2 linked regions of the Caenorhabditis elegans genome follow. The protein of the gene in region 1 purifies or fractionates together with the protein of each later gene. This does not show direct contact. Each region holds a gene or a part of one and is shown on either strand. Other genes may lie near its edges.

Region 1 (6,399 bases):
AGCAGGAAAGTTGTGCTATCCTCGCTGAAAATCGATTGGTTGAGGGGCTCACAGGCTACAAACTACAAAAAATCGAGCGCCTCAACCAAATTTTTTTTTGCAAAAATGCAAAAAACTCCAGTTTTTGCTCTTTTCTGTGCGATTTTTCGGTAATTTTCTTCTGATTCAGTTCAACATTTTGCGGGAAAATTGAAATTTTTATCAAAAATCCTCAATTTTCTCCGTTTTTTTTGGCAATTTTCCAGCTTTTTCCACACACACACCAGATTTAATATATCCAGCCGTATTGCTCGTATCAATTCTGTCAAGTGCGACAAGTGCGTGTCCCGACAGAGAGGACGGTGTTGCTGCTGGGCTGCTGCTCAATGACGTCACGTCGCTCATACACCTGCAACACAGTTTTGGGCTCTTTCTAGCCTTTTCTGGGCTCCAAAAATGAGATATTTCAGGCCAATTTTGAAGGCTGAGGCTAAAAATTTTGAATTTTGAAAAGAAAATTACAATAAAAATCGAGGCGAGACAGTTTAATAGATTAAAAAATGATGAATAAAACAGATTTTTAGACTTGTTTAGCGGAGGGGAACAGCAGGAAAAAAGAGAAAAACGATTTAAAAAATGTGGAAAAAAAAGAAAAAATAAATAAATGAGAGGACAGAGACCATTTTTTAACAATAAAAAAAAGTAATCAATAGGAAAATGAAAAAAAATTAAAATTTTTTTTTAGTTTCAGTCACTTTCAGATCCCGATTCGGATGCGCTTGGTGAACGGCGTTTTCGGTGTTTTTTGCTCTTTTTCTCCTGAAAAATTCGAGTTTATTCGGGGGAAATTGTGTAGTTTGTAGTCTGAGCCTCTACCAATTTTTTTTTTGTAAATTTTTGGTGGAATATAGCTCTAAAACGTGATTTCCTACATTTTTCAGACCAATTTTGCCCGAAAAGTTTGAAAAAATCGACGAAAACACCGCCTCAACCAAAATTGGTAATTTTTACAGTTTTCCGTGAATTTTTAGCGCAAAAATAGTTTTTTTTAAGTTTTAAACGAAAATTAAAACGATTTTGATCGCAAAAATTTTATTTTTGAATTTTTCTGGAAAGTTCTGGACTTTTTCTATGTTTTTCCTTGTTTTTTTTTAGAAAAATCAGATATTTTTTGATTTTTTTACTGTGGTTTTCCGTGAAAATTTTGAAAATTTCAGTTTTTCTTCCAGAAAATACGAAAATTTTTCGGATTTTCTCCCTGTTTTTCAGGAAAAAATCCTAAATTTTTGAATTTTTATTGTGATTTTTCTGGAAAAAAAAACAGAAAATTGCCGATTTTTGGAACCAATAAAAAAATCATCGAATTTACGATTTTTCCCTATTTCTAAGCTCAAAATTTCAAGATTTTCCAGATTTTTCATGAATTTCAATGAATTTTTGAATTTTTTTCTGGAAAATCCGGGATTTTTCGATTTTTTTCCTCGTTTTTCAGAAAAAAAAATCAGACATTTTTGAATTTTTCTGTTTTTTTCCGAGAAAATCCGGAAAATTCCCGATTTTTTCAGCGTTTTTCAGGAAAATGTGGAAATTTTTCTCGATTTTCTCCCTCCTTTTCAGATAAAAAATCTCAAATTTTTCAACTTTTCGGTGGTTTTTCTGAGATAATGTGGAATTTTTTTTCCAATTTTTCAGGAAAAAAGCAGGGAATTGCAGATTTTTTTAATGTTCACAATTTTTAAGCTCAAAATTTCTTCGATTTTCCATATTTTCAGCACCTTCTTATGCTTCTTGGCGGCCTTCTTCTCCTTCTTTGCCTTCTTACGACGACGCTCCTCTTCCGCCTCCGAATCAACAGAAACATCAGAATCCGTATCATTCGGCCGCCGTTTCTTCATTTCCGGGCTCTTTACGGCCACCGGAGCCTGCTGCTCCGAATCCTGACGTGGTCTACGTGGTGGTGGTGGTGGGCTTCTGCTTCTGGATGATGATGATGGGGAGCGGCGTCTTCGCGGGGATCTTCGTCTCTGTGGGCTCTGGCGACGGCGGGGAGCTGCTGCTGGGGAGCGGCGACGTCGTGGGCTTCTAGATTTTGAGCCGGATGGAGAGCGGCGGCGTCTTGGAGCCTGTGGGCTTTTCGACGGGGAGCGGCGTCTTCGTGGAGCCGGGCTTTTGGATTGAGATGGAGATCTGCGACGTCTTGGAGCCGGAGGGCTTTTGGATCTAGATTTGGCTCTTTTTGGAGCCGGTGGGCTCTTTGAAGCTGACGGGGATCGGCGTCTCCGAGCTGGAGGAATTTCTCTTTTTGGAGCCGGGCTTCTGGATTTGGACGGGGAGCGGCGTCTTCGTGGAGCCGGTGGGCTCTTTGAAGCTGACGGAGATCGGCGTCTCCGAGCCGGCGGACTTTTGGATCTAGATTTTGCTCTTTTTGGAGCCGGCGGTGGGCTTTTCGAAGCTGACGGGGATCTTCTTCTTCTTGCTGGAGCCGGTGGGCTTTTCGATCTGGATTTTGCTCTTTTTGGAGCTGGGCTCTTGGATTGAGATGGTGAGCGGCGTCTTCTCGCTGGCGGGGGGCTCTTCGACGCAGATGGAGACCTGCGTCGTCTCGGGCTTCCAGACTTGGCTCTGGCCGCCACTGAAGCTATAGCCTTCTGACGGAGCTCTGCCTCTTCATGACGCTTTTTACGCTCAATTTCTCGCCGACGCGACTCTTCCTCCCGCTCTTTCTCGTCACGGACTGGACGGCGATCCTCCCGACGATCCCGACGATCTCCTCCCCGTGCCGGCGGAGATCCACGTCGTCGTGGTGGGCTTCTTCTGGTGTCTCTTCGCGGGGATCCTCTTCTCGGCGAGCCCCTTCTCGGCGGTGATCTTCTCCGATTCCCGGCAGATCCACCTCGTCTGGCGGCCGGTGATCCTCCACCACCATCTCCTCCAGGACTCGCATTCCGTCGTGGCGGAGTTTTTCTCGGGCTCAGCGCTCTTGCCGGAATACGATCGTCGCGGACGGCTTTCTCCCGAGCCGGACCAGTGTACCGCCCGTTACTCAGGGTCTTGTAGCGATTTGTCCAGTCGTTATCCTCCCGATCGTCGCCCTTCTCATCACGATCATTTGTCTTCATCTCGGCCATCTTCTGATTGACTAGCGATGCTGGAATTCCGTCTTCTGATGCATTTGCCTCGATGAGCAGATTCCAGAGGTCGCCGACAAATTCCCGGGCGCGACGGGCGTTCAGGAAGCCTGTGACGTTGATCTGAAAGTAAATTGAGATTATTGAGGCGGTTATGTGGCTACAAACTACAAAAACAGCTGATTTTTTGCGAATTTGAAGGTAAAAATTTGAAATTAAAAGCGTTTTCTCATGATTTTCAGGTTTTTTGATAGAAAATTTGCTGTAATTCTGACATTTTACAGTGATTTTTTCTGAAATTAAAAAAAGCTTGGTTGAGGCTCAGAGACTACAAACTACAAAGTCTAGTGAGCCTCAACCAAGCAAATTTATTTTAAAAATGAAGTTACTTGCATGAAATTTTGCCGATTTTCGTAGTTTTTGGTCTCTGAAAGTCGATTTTTCGGTCAAAAATCTAATTTTTACGGAAAATTAATTATCTAAAAAGCTCAAAAACTGCCAATTTGCTGCAAAAAATTCAAAAAAAAATCTTGGTTGAGGCTCAGAGACTACAAACTACAAAGTCGTGTGAGCCTCAACCAAGCTTTTTTTTTTGAAAATGAGGCGATTTCCATGGAAATTTTGCCAATTTTCGTGGTTTTTGTCCTATAAAAGTGGATTTTTGGTCAAAAATCAATACTTTTAGGAAATTCAGCGTGTAGAACTGCTTAAAAACACCAAATTTGCTGCAAAAAATTCGAAAAAAATCTTGGTTGAGGCTCAGAGACTACAAACTACAAAGTCTAGTGAGCCTCAACCAAGCGAATGTTTTTGAAAATGAGGCGATTTGCATGAAATTTTGCCAATTTTCGTGGTTTTTGTCCTATGAAAGTCGATTTTTCGGTCAAAAATTTAATTTTTACGGAAAATTAATTATCTAAATAGCTCAAAAACGCCATATTTATTGCAAAAATTCGAGAAAAATAAATGTTGGTTGAGGCTCAGAGACTACAAACTACAAAGTCGTGTGAGCCTCACCCAAAGGATTTTCTCAAAAATAAGCAAATTTTACCGAAATTTGACGGTTTTACGGCCAAACGAGCAAATTTTCTTTAAAATGAGGTGATTTCCATCCTTTTTTTTGCCAATTTTCATAGTTTTTGGCCTCTAAAAGTCGATTTTTCGGTCAAAAATCCGATTTTCACAGGGTTTTTCGCTACAATTTACCTGTAAAAGCTTCGGATTCAAATTCTTATCATCAATCTGTGATAGAATATACTCGACAACGACATCATCCTCCATCCCCAGTATATCGTTGACACGGGCCGTAATCCACGGCTTGATGACGTCCATATTGCAGCGATTCAGGTCGATCTTGAAGAAAAGCCAATTTGTATAACCTTTAATTATCGAGTATTAGATGATAATTTTTTGGAATTTACTGGAAATTCACTGGAAAAATCGCAATTTCTCGCTAGATTTTTGAGCTTTGAGCGTATTTTGGCTCTCTGGCAGAATTTATTTTACCTTTTGCTCTAACTGCGGCTCAAACTTCATCGTTTTCAACAATTTCTTCTCTTTATCCGAAAATCGTCCATCCTGCTCTGAGTTGGCTCCGCGAAAGTAGCCGGCGTCCATTCTGAAATTGAAAAATTTGAACTTTTAATAGCGCAATCGTGTAGAAGAGCAGAAAACTAGAAAAAATCGATATTTCCGCTCATTTTCAGTGTTTAAACGCGAATTTTCCTAGCAAACACCTAAATTCTCGCAGAAAACTTGATTTTAAGCCAAAATTTCTCAAAAACTCGAAAATACTCCAGTTTAAGAAATATTTTAAGCTTCCTTTTACTGGAAAAACCCAGATATTCGGTGTGCAAACAGTAAAAACTTGCAAAATTTCGAAAATATCTTTTTCCCCCTGTTTTCAGCCAAATTTTTTTAGATTTGTAGATTTTTAGACTAAAAAAGTGATATTTTACGCGAAAATCGCTATTTTTTCAATAAAACACAAGAAAATTTCAAGAAAAACCAAATAAATCCGCAAAAAACCACGAAAAATCCCTGAAAAACCAATAAAAACGCAGCGTCGTCGCAAAAAACGCGCCAGCAGCCCGCCTTGCGCGTTTCTCGTGCACGCTGGCGCATTTCTCGATTTCGGCGGAAATTCAAATATGAAATTCAATTTTTCTCCCAAAATTGAGCCCCAGAGCACTTTTCCGCTGAGCAAGTGTGCAAAAACGATCAAAAATGATTAGAAAATCACATTTGTTATGCAAATTATGCCAGCTGAGAATGTGTAACCACCCAAGCGCATAACTTATTCTATTATTGGTCTCGGTCTGCCGGGTTTTCGCGATTTTTCTTCATTTTTTCAGCTTTTCCAGCCAAAAAAATGGGCTCTGCCACGTGGATTTGTCCGTATGGGCCTCCGGATTATTACATGAAGACTCTGCAATTAATCGGACTATTTTCATTGCCAATTAATTTCTTGTGCTTTTATTTTGTGTGGTTTTATACACCAAAAGAGTCAAAATTTCGATATTGTTTAGCTTATTTTCAGGTGATTTTTGTAGTCTATAGTCTGCACTACAAACTACAGAAAAGCTCGTGTACTCCCGGTGGACAAGCGACCGGTGAAAATTCTTCTTTTTATTTTCTTCATTAAAATTTTTGGATACTTGCGGCTAATTTTTTTTGTTTTTAACGGTCAAGTCACTAACTTATACAGTTTTTGGGTTAAAAACTGCTGAAAAATATAAAATTTTCACTTAAAAACTGTGTTTGATTAGCGAAAACCGACAAAAAACCGCCAAAACTGAAACTAAAAACTTGTACTCGGGGAGTACACGAGCTGCGTAAATCGACACATGACCCCTTTGCCGGTTTACTGGAAATTTTCAATTCCGGCAATTTGCCGATTTGCCGGATATTTTAAGTTCCGGCAATTTGCCGATTTGCCGGGAATTTAATTTTAGGCATTTTGCCGGTTTACCGATTTACCGGAAATTTCAATTCCGGCAATTTTTCGATTTGTCAGAACTTTCCAATTCCGGCAGTTTGCCGATTTGCCGGAAATTTTCAATCCGGCAATTTGTCGAGTCGCCGGAAATTTCAATTCCGGCAATTTGCTGATTTGCCGGAAATTTTCCATTCCGGCAATTTGCCGGTTTGCCGGAAATTTTTCAGTTTTGGCAATCTCTGAGCCTCAACTAATATTATAAACTCCGTGTGTTTGAGTCAAAAAGTTGGTTGAGGCTAATAGCCTTTTGTAGTTTGTAGTCTCTGAGCCTCGACCAAAAAAAAAACTTTCCAG
Region 2 (3,175 bases), on another chromosome or scaffold:
CTTCTTTAAATTGAAGCAGAGCATTGTTTAGTTGTGATTTTGAAAGATCATCTACTTTTTTATAATTTTCAAGCTGAAAATTTCAGAATTTAAAAGTTCATTTCTTCGACTATAAACTACAAACTCCACGGAGGTTCTCCCTCGAATCGATAATCAAATATTTGCAATTGAGCATCTTAAAATCGGTATTATTCAATATTTGGAGGGAATTTCCCCCGAAAAACACGAAATTATTGCATTTTTGAAACGGAAAAAATGTTCCAGACTCTTCCCAAGTGAAATATTCCGAGAGAGCACATCGTTTTACAGTGTACGGCAGATGTGAAAGCTTCTGAACAGAGAAATAAAAAAAATAACAGAATATTCGCGACCGCGACGCAATAGCAAGCGGAGCGGCTCGAAAAAAAACGTGGATTTTCAAGTTTTTCGCTCAATTTTTTGCGAAAAATTACTCACTTTGCCGGTAAACTCTAAATATTTTAGCACACACTGGTCTGCCCGTGCCAAAAGTTTGGCTCTATCCTCTATCCCTTTTGGAAAATGCTCTGCATCATCGAATGCTCCATTTAAATGCGAATAAAAGAATAAGGAGAACAAAAAGAAGACGACTGGCGAATGATTTACCATTTCGCCAGTTATATTCTAGGCGAATACCACACTTTGGAATTGTGGTAATCTTACAGGGAAATCTCCGAAACCAGTTTGTCGTCGTCTTTTTTCTGGAAAATAATTTATGAAAAATGAAGTATGATTCAACAAATAACAAAGTGCGGAGCCGGGACAAGCAGGAGATCACGTCAAATTCAACGGTCTGCGCACGCTTTGAAAAGAAGAGAAACTGGAAGAATGGGGGACTCGAGAGAGAGAAAAAATACAGAGAATTGATTATATTTGCGCCGTGTTGTGCTTATCCACGGAACGTTGGAGCTCCTCCCGGGCGAGACATTCCACGTGGTCCTCCACGGCCCATTGGTCGACGGAAAGCGGTTCCACGTCCTCTTCCACGCTGATCGAGACCTCCCAAACCCATTCCAATGGCTCCTTTCTGGGCTCTTCCGATATTTTTGAACATTGGCGCGTTTTTGAGCATATCCGGCAGAATCATGAATCGGATCTGGAAATTGATTGGTTTACAGCTGAAATTTAGAGAAAAATGGTGAAAAACCTTGTTTCCGCGAATGAAAACGTTGTCCAATTGATGACTTCTTCCGTCGCGGAAAGTCACAACGGTTTCAGCCAGCTGACAGTTCATGTTGTCTTCGGCTTCAGAAAGTTTTCCTCGGTAAACTTCGCCTGGAATAGAAAAGTATTTATTGAGCGACGGGAAATTCGAAAATGATTACCTGTAACGGTTTCGAGCGTGACCATGTGACCTTCGGCCTCATGAAGAATCTTGATTGGGACACCAACTGAAGTCATTCTGAAAATTTTGATTCTGTAGATTCGGCTTGAAGGGAGAAAACGTTAGAAAAAAGAAGTAGAATCGCCTAAAATTTCAGATTTTCACACTTTTCACGGTAAAGTTTGTTCTCATTTGAAATATGCTGAGCATAATAGACAAAAAAGGAATAAAACCCCGAAAATGAAGTTTTTTCGGAAAATTCTAGAATTTGCACGCGTTGCAAGAAAAATGTGGCAACAAATGGATTTCCAGATGAGAAAAATGTGTTTTAGAACTTTATTTTGAAGAAAATCTAGAAATAAAACGGTTTTTCTTTCTAAAAATTACGAAAAATGAAGAGCTCAAAATGAAAAATGAAGGGAATAAAATTCGAAAATAAGGCACGCGACGCAGCACGCAGCGTGTGCAGTGGGGCGCGTTTGCGGGAAGGGCCTCATGAAGTTAACTTCCCGGAGACGCAAGAACGCCGAAATTGGAGACTAGCATTTATGTAAAATGCAAATTTAAATATTTAATTAAATGAAAACTATTATATTATTCTTAATCAATTATAAATACTAAAAAAATACAGCAATTTTCATTTGTAAAGCTGCCAGAAACTATTTCAAATCTCACGTTCCCTTGTCCCCGAGATACTAGTTTTACGGAATGCGCATAGAATTTTTTAATTATTTACCAGATTTTACAGATGAATTTCCATAATTTTATGTAAAATATGAAGAAAAATCGGAAAATTCTCTAGAAAAATGTCAAATCGGCTTTATATTCTCCTTGCTGTAGTCCTTTTCCTAGCAACATTCGGTTCAACCGGTCTAATCGTTCTTCCAGCCAGTATCCTCTGTTTCGTAGCGGGGTAAGCTTTAATTCTTTAGAAAAACCTTAAACTGGAATACCTTCAGATTTCTCTACATTTTCTATCAAACGGGACACGAAAAACATGACGAAATCGCTGGAATTTTATCCGAAAATCTGCAAAAAGGAAAATTATCTGCGGGAATTGAGGCTCTGCTGAAAAATGGAAAACGACTCAAAGAGCAAAATCAATATGTGGAGGTGCATTCAATGTGCAATTCACCGCAATTAGATTTGGTTTTAGAACAAGTAGGGATTTATGTGGACTGAAATGTTATTAAAAATATTTTTTTTTAGATTCTCGGCAATATAACACGGGATTACGTCGGCTTTTGGTATAAAACACTTTCAAATGATAATATTTTTGAACAAAGCTTAAAGAGAACCTCCCGAAGATCAATTGCCTCATTGACACAATGGTGTGTAGCTCATTAATAAAATTTTATTTTATAAAACAAAAAATGGAAAAAAATCAATAAAATCTCAAATTTCCAGTCTCCGCCAGGTTGATTGGGTTCCATTGCTCACGCGTGACGTTGTCGACGATTTTGCTTCTCATTTACGGCTTTTCCGGAAAGCTAAGGAAAGAACTGCATTTCAAGCGAAGGAAAAAGATAAAACATTATCCCCTGAAGATTTGGAAGCGGAATTGCTCAGCAATTTCTTTGATTTTGAGCTGGAAATGGAAAAATCGTTGTGTAGAGATCTTCTTTCAACTACACCGCATTATGAAAATGGTAAAAATTGAGATTTTCGATGAAAAAATTCAATTTTTTCCGATTTTTCAGCCTATCTTCATGATCTTGTCGATATAATTCTCTATTTAATAATGCCACCGGAAGATTTTAGATGTCGGCCGCTGAGATTCTTGCTTCGAGAAGTTGTTGGTCAGTGTCGGAAGATATTCAGGAAATTGAGAAA

Evidence for each region.
Region 2: the proteins of rsr-1 (region 1) and snr-1 fractionate together in Caenorhabditis elegans (co-fractionation; one large-scale study listed by BioGRID). This does not show direct contact.

What each region holds. Positions count from the first base shown.
Region 1 is NC_003279.8:11,177,339-11,183,737, forward strand, and holds rsr-1 (PWI domain-containing protein), read right to left. Parts: upstream 4,726-6,399; 5' UTR 4,725-4,725; coding exon 4,614-4,724; intron 4,461-4,613; coding exon 4,314-4,460; intron 3,231-4,313; coding exon 1,755-3,230; intron 799-1,754; coding exon 727-798; 3' UTR 510-726; downstream 1-509. Other genes in the region: F28D9.4 (Transmembrane protein 242), read right to left, coding at 264-384; sri-5 (Serpentine Receptor, class T), read left to right, coding at 5,479-5,646.
Region 2 is NC_003282.8:17,086,303-17,089,477, reverse strand, and holds snr-1 (Small nuclear ribonucleoprotein Sm D3), read right to left. Parts: upstream 1,430-3,175; 5' UTR 1,420-1,429; coding exon 1,344-1,419; intron 1,294-1,343; coding exon 1,166-1,293; intron 1,115-1,165; coding exon 908-1,114; 3' UTR 628-907; downstream 1-627. Other genes in the region: Y116A8C.43 (Lipoprotein), read right to left, coding at 1-73, 125-331, 457-627; snx-13 (Sorting nexin-13), read left to right, coding at 2,149-2,255, 2,302-2,503, 2,552-2,673, 2,750-2,991, 3,043-3,141. UniProt on the Caenorhabditis elegans protein: Plays a role in pre-mRNA splicing as a core component of the spliceosomal U1, U2, U4 and U5 small nuclear ribonucleoproteins (snRNPs), the building blocks of the spliceosome.